Tamandua tetradactyla: one gene and its partners. The protein of the gene in region 3 purifies or fractionates together with the protein of the main gene of each other region. This does not show direct contact. Links are inferred from orthologs where the notes say so. Each region holds a gene or a part of one and is shown on either strand. Other genes may lie near its edges. The genes, in order: AMOTL1, FAM168A and WWP2.

Region 1 (3,941 bases), on a different chromosome or scaffold from region 3:
TCGCTGTTTACCAAGCCCTTACCTGAGCCAGGCAGGAAGTTGGTCAAATATCTTTGGGCACCTACTATATGCCAGGCATTGTGTTCCAGTTTTCCTTGTTTCCTGTCCTCTCAACAACCAGGAAAAACCAAGTAGGTTAGCTTCCTACCGTTCTTTGCTTCTTTTTCTTCGCTTATTATCCAATTAATGTAACAGTATTAAATGATAAAGATGCTGGCCTATTACTTTTCTGGAGCTAACTGCACAGATGAAGAATCACAACCCTTGACCCTGTGGTCTGCTGTCAAGCCTGAGGGTTCAGCTCCATCCCCATTCCCCAATTCTAACAGAGATGTACTGTGGTGGTAGAAGTTGTTTCATGGATGAGGAGATCAAAGCCCCTGAGGTTAATGTGCTCATAGGTTTCTAGTAAGGATATGCCTCCCATTTGCTTGTTGTTCATTCATCTACTCAACAAGCATTACTGAGCATCTATTATATGCCAAACTCTGGGAATAAAAGAGTGAGCCAGAAAACATGGAGGTCACCAGACTATACCATCTGCTGTGCCCCATCTCTAAATGGGTAACATACATCAACTAACACAGAACATCTTTAATTCTCCAGGGTCTATCTTCCAACCAAGGCTACTGCACTTCTCCAAAGGGAAGAATGAATAATCTGAAAGAGGGGCTGTGGCTGCTATCCAGCCAAAAACCAACAAAAGTTCACTCCTTGCCCTGTCATGCTGCCAGACTAGACAGTATCTCCACATATTTTAGAGGCTAGGTCAGTACCACTTCACAGCCCATGGAATAAAATTGAACCTCCTTTGCTTAACACACACACTTCCTGATCTGACCTCCGCTTCCCTCTCCAGACTCATCTCCCTGCTCGTCACTGGGACAAACCTCTTCCCTCCTGCTATACTGATCTGCCCCTGGATCCTCAGGCATACTGGGTATTCCCACCCTTGGCAAAGGCTGTTCCTGCTATATGTTTTTTACTTGATTTGTTCTTACTTTTCTTGAAGCTGCTGCTAAATTCACCTGTTCTGGGACTTTTCCTGTCCATGCTGCCTGCCCACCCCACCCTGGTCTGAATAAGAGTCCTCTTCAGTCCTGCCACAGGTCGTGTAGATTCCTTTGCCATGGCACTCACAACATTGTCTTTGACTGTCTACATCCTAAACAGCCTGGGAACATCTTGAGGCAGAGGTCTGGTGTTTTTCATTTCTGCATCCTATGACTTTAGCTTGGCAAATACTTGGTGTGTACTTGATGGCTGGCAGGCTGATGGATGGATGGATGGATGGATGGATGGTGGGACCACATCCTTTGTTTACCTATGCCTTCATTGGGGAACTTTTATTGGCTGCGGCAGCCTAGCTGGTTATACAACTATTTCTGGCACCACTTTATTTCTTCAGCTTACTTTCAGCACACCTATAGCATTTCACTTAGTGACTCCAGACTTGTTTGCCAAAGCTTGAAGGCAGAGGAGAGAAAGGAAGTAGGTGTGGTTTCTCCACTGGTACTTTTGTAACCAAGGCAATAGAATCATCTGTCATAGAATTTTAGAACTGAAAGAAGCCTTAGGGATGATGTAACAAGAGTGGCTACAAACTACTAATTGTGACCAGCTCTCAGAATTACCACAATCCCTCTGTGAGTTTACCATGTCACAGAACTGCAATCTTTAGGGATATGGCTGGCCAGAAGGGGAACCAGCCTTGTGACTTGATGTGCCTGACGGGGAGGCACAGCTCTCAGGTAATCATGAAGTGCTGGAGTTATCAGAGGAGCTTAGTTCTGATAGGCAATGGAAACCATTCCAGACAATCGGTCTGCAGTGATGGAGGTATCCATGGCAAAGCATGGCAATCTTGTAATATGTAGGGGGAGTGCAGTGATTTCTTATCAATTTGAAAATCCTTCTGAGCAGTTGATACTATGGTGGATTTTCAGAATTCTAGCCTAGGCTAGAGTTCGGCAAAAGAGTTCTTGGTTCTAAGAGAACTAAATGAAGTAACCAAAATGAGAAATCAGAGCAGATAATCTGGTGAAGTCTTGAAGCGGGATGGGGAAACTTCTGCTCAGAAACCAAGTGGAAGCCCATATGTCACAGCTAAGTCAGAATTGGATGAATTACAAAGACATATATTAAATAATCTATTAGGTGTATACTATTGCTTGACATTAAGCTAAGCCTTTTATTTGTATGTATGTATGTGTATGTGTATACCAAGTAGGTCAGATCCCCTACCATTCTTTTCTTCTTTTTCTTTGTCTATTATCTTATTAATGTAACAGTATTAAATCCCAGTTAAGTCTCACAACAACTTTATTCTCATTTTATGAATGAATGAAGAGAATAAGCCTGAAGAGGCTGAGAAACTAGTACAAGGTCATTCAGCTGATAAGTGGCAGAGTTGGGATTTGACTTTAGATAGGTCTAACCCCAAACTACCCTTGGCTATTGCCTCTCGATTTACTTTCTTAACATTCCTTACTCTGCCTTTGCAGTTTCAGACTACAGCGCTTTACTTACAAACTATTTTTGCTGGTTATTTCATTGTCACAATAGAAGAGACTTGGCTTTGAGCAGGGCCAGGAAGCAAACAGTGATGTTGCAATGAGTGGACTCTCATCCAAGCCAGCCACAGGTCCCTCCTACAGCCATCCCAACTCAGGCATTGCAAAAGCCTCGACCCACCTGCTTCTGAGCATCTTTCCCCCCACCTACCCTTGCCTCTGCCCCATCTCTCCCCACTGCTGGCTAGTACCAGCTGCTGATCTCAGAGACCTACTGTGGGCTAGCGAGGTTTATACTTCTGTGGAGTACCAGGGAAAGTCCTGGAAACATCCAGGCCTCAGGGCTTTTGCTCTTGGCTTCATACAGTCTTCAGAGAGTTGCATTATTTGCCAGAAAGACTCAGTCATCCTGGTGAATCATAGGCCTTGAGGCAGGTCCACGCAGCATCTGCTTTTGTGTTATCTTCAGAGCATCTCTGGGCTGCCATTAGGGTGGGACAGCCTCCAGGAAGCTGGCTCGGGAGATCCCAGGATGTCTGGAGGTGACAATGAATTTCTGAAGAAAAGTCCCACTGCCACACCTGCTTCCAACACTCCTAAAAATACAAAACACCAAGTTACTCTCAAGGACATGGGCCAATGGTTTTTCAAACTTGTTTTAAAGGTCTGAAATGCATTTCCAAATGCAGAGTCATATGCAGTCCCTAACACATGAAACAGAAGGGACACTGTTTGGCCAGGATCATTGCTGACTGTTGCATTACAAGCCAATCTGGCTGCTCCTTTGATTTGCCAGCTGCCATATCATGTGTGTGGGGATTTGGTGCAGGCAGGGAGGTGTCCTCAACTCTTCTCTCTGAGTCCATAAAACATTTCTTTTTCCTGTAATAGATGTGCTCAGTCAGCTGTCTCGGAAACCTGCTGTCATCTGCACTTCCCAGGGGGCTCAACCTGCTTAGATTCCTCATTAGGAGAGAGGCAGGAAGTTTGTGAAACATAACCTCGCAGGGTGGGCCAGGTGCATTGTAGAAATCCAGTGGTACTGTTTCCATTATGGTTATGAAAACAGGAAGCAGCAGATTTCCCTTCTGGTGTCTCTCAAGGTCAGGGAGAGTTTTCACATCAGTCAAGAAGGAAGGACGCTAACATTTTCGGAGAGCGGTATGTGTGCCAAGCACTGTCATGAACGTTACTTCATTTTTTTAAAATCATCATTGAAATCCTGTGACATAGTTGCTATTATCTCCATTTTACAGATGAGGAAACTGAATCTGAGAAGCAAGCTAACTAAGACAGGCTCGTGCAGCTAATGGCAGCAGAGCTGACCTTCAAACTCAGATCTTCCAACTCTAGAGTTGTGCCCTTTCCATTTTACTTCTCAGTTTCTGCTTTTCTTCAAACGGCCACATTCTGTATCTCTACCTTCTG
Region 2 (3,941 bases), on a different chromosome or scaffold from region 3:
ATTTTCATCATAGTGACCACTATTATTTGTTTTACCAGTGCAACTCTTGAGCTCACAGAAAAGCCAGATAGGCATAGACCTGGAATATTGCTAATGACGAGAAAACTAAAAGTTTTCTTTAGTTTGCTTTAGACTTTGAAATTGTATTTTTTCAAACTAGTCTTACAGCCTAAAAAATAAATATATATGAGCTCCTTTTAAAAAATTCAGACAACATGAAAATAAAAATTACTTGAAATCTGACATCTTTCCCTCTAAGACAATCACCAATAATATTTAGGGGAACCTCTTTCCTGAACTCTCTATGCTTATAGAAGAAGCAACTTCAAACTTCGCATAAATCGGACCCTTCTAAATATGCTATTTTGCAATCAACGTTTCCTCAACAGTGAATTGTGAATAAGCTCTCCATGTCAATAAATAGATCTATACCATCACTTTTAATGACTTAGCACTTTATTGTATGTATATATAATTTAACCAACCTTCTATTGATGGACATATACATTATCCCCACACCCCTACAACCTCATGTTCGATCATCCTTTTAAGGTTAAGTTTTTTTTGGGGGGGGGGGGGCGGTGCACGGTCCGGGAATCGAACTCGGGTCTCCAGCATGGAAGACCGGAATTCTCATCACCGAACTACCCGTGCACCCTAAGGTAAGTTTTTAAAAGTAATGGAGCTGAGTCAAGAAATACACCCTTTCTGCATTTAAATTCAAATTGCGAAATCGTCCTAAGATTTGCTGGGAGACCACTGACGAAGCTGCTGCATTAGTCCTGGTGTTAGACATGTGAACCGGAATGACAAGTAGAATACAGACTCACAAGTCATCTCGCCCATCTGGGCTTGTCCTTGCTGGGTTGGCATATTTCTTCCAGTTTTCCTCTTTTTCTTAACATGGGGGAAGAAATGAGAACTGCCTCTCCCGGCATTTCGCAGGGGCCACACTTATTCCAAACTGCAATATTGGGTCTGAGAAAGATCCGGAAGGCGGGCCGGAGGCTGCGTGGAATGCTGGGAAATGTAGTTCATGGGTGGCTGTATTCGTGTGTGTTTGTGCGTGGGTGTGCGCGTCTATATGCGTGCGCTAGTGGGTGTCGGGGGGAGGGGCGCGTGGACACACCGCGAGATTCTTTACTTGGAGATGAAGCTGCCGGACAGCCTGACTTCCCTGACGTATGGTCACTGTGTTTACAAAACCCGCCGGCGGATGGCTGACGTTATTCTATTGTCCGTGACCAAGGAGGGCGCAGTGCTTCTGCACTGAGCGCGACGCTAGGGCTGTAGGCCGCTCGCAGGTTGAGCGGGGAATGCTGGGAGTTGTGGTCCTAGCGCGCTGAGACCGTGGGACGTGTCGCGGCGCCGCGCTTGCTCCTCCTTCCCCGCCCATCTCAGCGGTCTCCCGCCCCCTCCCTCCGCCTCCACCTCCCTCGCCCCGCTGCCGAGCGTCCCCTCCCCCCACCCGTCGGGCTCCTCGGCCGCTACTGCAGAGGTTTCAGAGCCGAGTCGCTGAGGAGGAGGCTCCAGGACCCTGCGCGCCATCCGCCACCCTACAGGACACGGGCGAGGAAGCGAGAGCGTCGCCACTACAGCCGCCAGAAAAGACAAGGACATCGCCGTCTCAGCCGCCGCCACCCCCGTTTTCGCCTGCAGCCTCTCGCTGGTGAGGAAACCCCCCTCCCCCCTTCCAGGGTCCACTCGTCCTCAGCCCCGGCCGGTGGTACTGGGGGAAATGAGGGTGGGGGCTGCAGAGCCCCCGGGCGGGTTGGGGGGAGGGGGCTGAGGTCGCGTTGGAACGGCGGGCTGACGAGGGAGATTTGTCCAGGCGCGGACTGGGGGTGGGGTGGGGGTGGGACCCAGCAGGGTGCGGTGGGGGAAGATGAGGGAAAGGGACTTTTAATGGGGAATGACCCTAGTTGGGACGGGAGCGTAGGTGGGAGTCGCATGGGGTTGGAATTTGGGAAGGCCTTGGGGAGAAGTGGGAGATGAGACTGAAGTGGGGTGGCCTTTAATGGGGGAGGGGGCTGAATGAAGGTGGTGGTTTTGAGGTTGGCCTGAAACAGTTGACAGCTTGGGGTCCTAGCTGGGTGGGGGTTAGGGACTTGAATTCAACAGACTGTGGGATGTACAGGGCTTGGACTGGACCCTGGAGCGTGTTAATTCAGGAGGAGGGAATGTGGGGTGGACCGGGGTAGGCTGATGGAGGTGGTAGGAGCTGGGGCTGAGGGTCTGGCAAGGTTTGAGATCTGAGACCGGAGTGGGCATTTGCCACCTGGGGGTGGTGGAATTTGTGGTGACTTATGGAATAGCAGGGCTTGGGATAGAGCAGAGGAGGTGGAATTCAGTTTTTCCTGGGGTGGGCTGATGGAGGTTGGAATAATTGCAGATAGGGGTAAGGCTTTTAGTAAGAGGAGTGTAATGGTGAGCTGGCGGGAGGAAGGGAAATTGAAAGTTAGGTCCAAAATGGACTGACAGGTTTTGAGATTGAAGGGAGGCATAGTGGGTTGGGATTTAGGGTGATCTTTGAACCACTGTAAGAGGCATGATGGCTCCCTGGGGGCAGGTTCCAGGCAGAGGGCACTGAAGAAGGGCCTGGGCTGGACTCACTGAAAGAATAGTGGCAGGTGGTGAGCATGGTTGTGGAATGGTATGTTGAAGAAAATGTCCTTTAGCCAAGGTGGAAGAGGGAGTTTTGGAGAAGTGTTTGAGATAACCTGGTTGGACTAGAGCAGTGGTTGATGATGGTGAGGCGGCAGAGGGGGAATTTAAAGAGTGGAAGACCTGGAGTTGTGGGAATAGATGGGTCACAGAAGATGGAAAGGGGTAGTGAGCAGTGCTGGGAAGAGGTGGGTTGGGCCTCCAAGAGACACAAGAGGGTTAGGGGTTGGAACACTTAAATGGACATCTTTGGTGGCTGTGGTTGGTTAAGAGGTTTCTTATAGGAGGCTTTGTAGGGAACAGAGAAGGTGGTACATTAAAGATACATTCCTAGAGAACCTCTTAAGAGGCCTTTGATCTTATTGTTTGTTTCATTTTTATTAGAATCATATTTGGAAGCGAAGTCAACCCAGAGGATGAAGTTGAGAGGGGTTTCTGTTAGGGTAGAATTAAGGAAGGGGGTGTGTGTTTTCTTTCTGTTAGTTCATATATCACAAAAAGAAAGTTGGAGGAAAAAAAACCCACCCCCCAAATAAAGGTGGGTGAAGATGGAAATGGAGTGTGATAAATATCTTTCTGTATGATGTCTCTGCTTTCTCTTTTCCCCTCCTCTGGTGCTCTTAAGAACTAGTTCTGGAATTTTAAATTTAAATAGATTTGATGAGATTGAGGTTGTTAAGGGAGCGTCCCTTGCTTGAGAAGTGATGAATGGGACTGAAAAATATGAGACTGGATTTATTTTCTAATCAGCAGCGTGCATTTATATGGAAAGAAAGCGCTTAGGGCCTCCACCCCCCCCCCCTTTAAAATTGATTGCTTGAAGACTCCATTTATTGGTATCTTGGTTTGCAAGGCAATTAGGCCCATCATTGTATTGCAGGGTAATAATCCTGAGATGAGCCTTGGCACCACTGCTTTATGTAAACAGAGAGAAGACAGAAAATATGGAAATGTCATAAATATTCATTGGTAAGACGGTTTGGTAGTGATGGTTTTTTTTTTCATTTGATTCTCTTTTGACATTACTTGATAAGATTTAAAATTATTGGACTATATTTCTATAGTTTGATTTTTCTCCTGCAGGACATTCAGGTGATCAGAATTTTGTCAGATGTAGCCAAATAAGCATATAGAGTCATTTTTATTTTATATTTCAAGGGATGGTGTTGATGTAGGCACATTGCATTAACCTCAGAAATAATATCTCCATTTCTTTATCAGAAATTTGATGTAAAGCTTAGTGATGTTCACTCCCATGCTGGATGGTGATGATGGAA
Region 3 (3,941 bases):
GGGCTGTGCTGAAGAGTCTAGGAGGCTTCGACTGCACATCTGGCAGTGACAGCTAGAAGGCTGGGCTCATGTGGGACAGTTAGCTAGGGAGCCTGCACATGGCCTCTTCAGAATCGTGGCCTCGTGGAAGGAGTACTACTTCTTACCTGGTAGCTCAGGGCTTCAAGAGTGTTTCAGCTGACAAGATGGTATTTCATGTTTTAACCTCAGAAGTGATGCAGCATTACTTTCTCCATACTGTATTGGATGAAGCAATCCCAAGTCCACCCAGATTCAAGGGGAGGGGGCATCAATTCCAACTGTTGATGGGAGGGGTGTCCAAGAAATTGCAGCCATGATTCAATACCACCATAAAAAAAAGAAATAGATATCTGAAAAACAAACACAATAGTTATAAAGGCGATAAACCATATAAACTATGCTGCAGCAAGTAGAACCAAAAACTACAAAAATTTAGATTAGCATTAGAAATACCACCCCAAAAATAAGGAAGGCTACCAATAAGATGATGCTAGAAAGTTACCCTAGTGCATGGAACCTTTGCAGAATCTTATAAAATGCCCTAGGCATTCTTCAGGATTGGCTGGAATGGTTTTGGTTGGGGTTTGGCAAGTTATAGTAGGTAGCAATATCTAACCGAAGCTTGCGTAACAGTGTCCTCCAGAGTAGCCTCCCCAGTTTATTTGAGCTCTCCCAGCCACTGGTACCTTATTTGTTACACTTCTTTTCTCCCTTTTGTTTAGGATGGTATTGTTGATGTCACTGTGCCAGGGCTGGATTCATCTCTGGGAGTCATCTCCCACCCTGCGAGGAAGACTTGCACCCCCCAAGCAGGGTTTTTTAAGAAGCTTTTCTATTTTAGTTCAATATCACAAGAACATATGTTCCACAAAGGCAGGGATTTTTGTTTCTAGAGCCTAGAACAGTGCCTAGCACACAATAGGTGCAGGATCATCAGATTTACTGAGTAAAATACAAGTTGCACAATTAAATTTCAATTTCAGATAAACAATGAATACTTTTCTTTTCTTTTTTTTAGTATTTTATCCGGCAACCTTACTATGGAGGTCAATAAATATTTGTTGACTTCATCTATTGAATTAACTCCTCTCACCTGTAAAATGGGGTTAAATGATAGTACCCGCCCCCAAAGATTTGATGGGAGGAGAAAATGAAGCGCCTGGCCCTCAGTGACCCTCAATTTATGATTGCTCAGGGAGCATCTTGGAGGTGAAAAAAAATCCCTCCACTTTAAAAACACAAAAATAAAATGCGCTACCCAGGCCAAAGGCTCCTGGCCAGGCCCGGCTGCCCACACCTGCAAACCCGGCCAGCCTCTTCCGGGTCAGGTGACCGCCCGTGGTCACGTGACCCGGCTCGAGTGCGGTCGGTGGAAGGCGGAAGTGGGAGAGGAGTTGGGCGCCGCTTCTGTGGCCGCTGCAGGTAGCGAGCGCGGGCGCAGGGCTGCCCGGAAGGCGGCCGGGCTTGGCGGGTCGGGCCCCGGTCAGCGGCGGCAAGTGCTGGGCCTGGGGCGGCGCGGCCCGGGCTCCGGGGGGCGGCGGCTTCCTGTGGGAGGGGCCTGGCGTGGCGGTTCCGGCCTCCGAGGAGGGGTGTCCCGGCTCCCGCCGGTGCGGGGTGGGCGCGCCGGGGGCCGCGTGCGGGGGCTGCACGGGGGTGGTCTCTAAAGGCAGCCAGGGGTTCGGCAGGCAGTGAATCTTCCCGGATGCCAGGGGCTGGAGAGGTGTGACATTTGTGGAGGGATCGGGAGAGGAGGAAGGGGGGACTTGGGACTGAACTGGAAGGAGGTGCCTGTGAATGGGCATTTGGCTTGGAGGGAAAGAGGGAGAGATGGAAGCAGATGCTGCCTGAACCTCATCTGAGAGTCTCTTCCTTCCGTTCTCTTTTGCAAGGATTGTCACCAGAGACTTTGATTTCTGTCCCTTTAAGTTTTTAAAACTTCAGGAGGGATCACGGAATCTTGATCATCTTGCTTTCGTCACACCCCCTTAGTCCTGCTTGGATCGGGTTTCTTCTTCTCGGGAACCTAGCCCTTCAGATCACCTTTCTTTGAGATTTTCCCAGATCAGGTCATCTTTAAGACTTAAAAAAAAATGTGGGTACTTATCTCTCGTTGTAAAATGACAGTCGAAACTGTTGACCGCGACTTAGTCCAGCATTTACCCCCGCAACTGCTGAAATCTTGGACAGAGCAGTGTCTACCTACACATTTTGTGACTTTGCTTCTTTCTTTGGTTTAAATTATTCAGCTTCCCTTACCATGTGACTACTTTTCTTGACAAACTGTAACTAGTTGGGGTGGCTGAGAGGTCTGTGTTGTGTTCCTTAGAACCGTGACCTATGAATCATGGTTTTGAGATTAGATACCTGTATTAAAGCTTCTCGAGCTCCTCTTTCTATTCATGTTTACTAAAATTTGCAAAAGTGAAATAAGTTTCAAGAATACAGCATAACTGGAGTAAATGTTTAAACTGGACATTCACAGGACCCAGAGTTGTCGTAGATTACAAGTAGGACAAAAAAAGTAACTTTGCTAATGTATTATGAGTTCAGGTTGTAGAGTATTTGACAAACATTGAAAAATTAATTTTCGTAGTCACCTTGTGAGTTAGGTTGGGAAGATATTAGTCCCATTTCACATTTCACAAGATCTGAGAGGGACAAATCGATTTTTAACAATTTTTGTTTTCTTGTTACTGGTCCCTTTTCCCCCACTAGACTGCAAATCCCTCAAGGACAGGGTTTATATATTTGGCTTCCAGCCTAGTGCCTGGCACATTGTGGGCACTTGGTAAATAGGTGATGAATGAATGAGTTTCTAAAGGTCACCTTGCTGAAAGTGGCAGACAGAGGATTTTAACTTAAGTCTTCTATCTTAGCTCTTGCGAGACATGCTTGTCTTTTTATGTGTTGTTGGTCCATTTGGAAATAAAACCCTAAACATGGGTGAAAGGCTAGGGTTGGCTTCTCAGTCTCTTCCACTTAATGACTCCTTCCCTATCTACAAAGAACTTTGTGCAAATATCCCATTTAATTTCTACCATAAGCCTGTGAAGTTTGATGCTGAGCTAGTAAATGACACAGTAGGGAGGCAAGTGCAGGCTTTTTATCCCTAGACCTGTTCTTTTTCATTTATGGAGATGATTTTAAGTTTTATTTTTAAATATTAAAAAAATGGCATTCTAAGAAAAAATATTAATAGTATAATCACAGTAAAAATCAGTACTGTAGACTATATAGAAAATCCTTTGTCATAACTACCTCTTCTTCCTGGGAAAACATTCTGTTATTCAATGGATATAGGTCCTTGCATTATTGTAGAGTTGCACTGTCTAGTACAGTGGCCACCAGCTATTGAACCCTTGAGATAAATGCACATTCTATTTCGAAGATTTAGTATGAAAAACCAAGAATATATCATTGATATTTTTATATTAGTGATACAAATATATACTATTAATTACCATTAATCATTTATGGAAATCATTTATATAAAATTTATGGAAATGATTTATATAAAAATATTTTATATTTATGATACAAATATATACTATTAATGGTAATATTTTGAATCTACTGGGTAAATAAATTTATTAAAATTGTTTATTATAATTTTTTAAAATAAATTACTCAACTGTTTATTTTTAAAAATGTTGCTCCTAGAAAATAAGAAGTTAACATATGTGGCCCCCAGATAGCACTGTTCTAAGTTGCGGGGAAATACAGTGGTACATAAGAAAGGCAACCATCCCTGCCCTTGCAGATCTGAAATGTTAATGGGGAAAGGAAAATGGATAAGATGCATATTATATTGTGATAAAGCAGACAAGAGGGATGCGAAGTGTTCAGTGGGGTTGCAGTTTTAAATAGGGTGCTTAGAAAAGCCTGCCTGAGAAGGTGACAGTTGAGTAGAAGATCTAAAG

What was found.
Region 1: the proteins of WWP2 (region 3) and AMOTL1 purify together in Homo sapiens (affinity purification with mass spectrometry; 3 studies listed by BioGRID and IntAct, counting the BioPlex papers as one, with this or other methods). This does not show direct contact. The link is inferred for Tamandua tetradactyla from reciprocal best matches to the Homo sapiens genes WWP2 and AMOTL1.
Region 2: the proteins of WWP2 (region 3) and FAM168A purify together in Homo sapiens (affinity purification with mass spectrometry; 3 studies listed by BioGRID and IntAct, counting the BioPlex papers as one, with this or other methods). This does not show direct contact. The link is inferred for Tamandua tetradactyla from reciprocal best matches to the Homo sapiens genes WWP2 and FAM168A.

Annotation. Positions count from the first base shown.
Region 1 is NC_135334.1:48,227,517-48,231,457, reverse strand, and holds the start of AMOTL1 (angiomotin-like protein 1), read left to right. Parts: upstream 1-1,606; 5' UTR 1,607-1,751; intron 1,752-3,941. UniProt on the Homo sapiens protein: Inhibits the Wnt/beta-catenin signaling pathway, probably by recruiting CTNNB1 to recycling endosomes and hence preventing its translocation to the nucleus.
Region 2 is NC_135334.1:72,426,786-72,430,726, forward strand, and holds the start of FAM168A (protein FAM168A), read left to right. Parts: upstream 1-1,405; 5' UTR 1,406-1,669; intron 1,670-3,544; exon of another isoform or gene 3,545-3,633; intron 3,634-3,941.
Region 3 is NC_135342.1:63,874,514-63,878,454, forward strand, and holds the start of WWP2 (NEDD4-like E3 ubiquitin-protein ligase WWP2), read left to right. Parts: upstream 1-1,332; 5' UTR 1,333-1,443; intron 1,444-3,941. UniProt on the Homo sapiens protein: E3 ubiquitin-protein ligase which accepts ubiquitin from an E2 ubiquitin-conjugating enzyme in the form of a thioester and then directly transfers the ubiquitin to targeted substrates.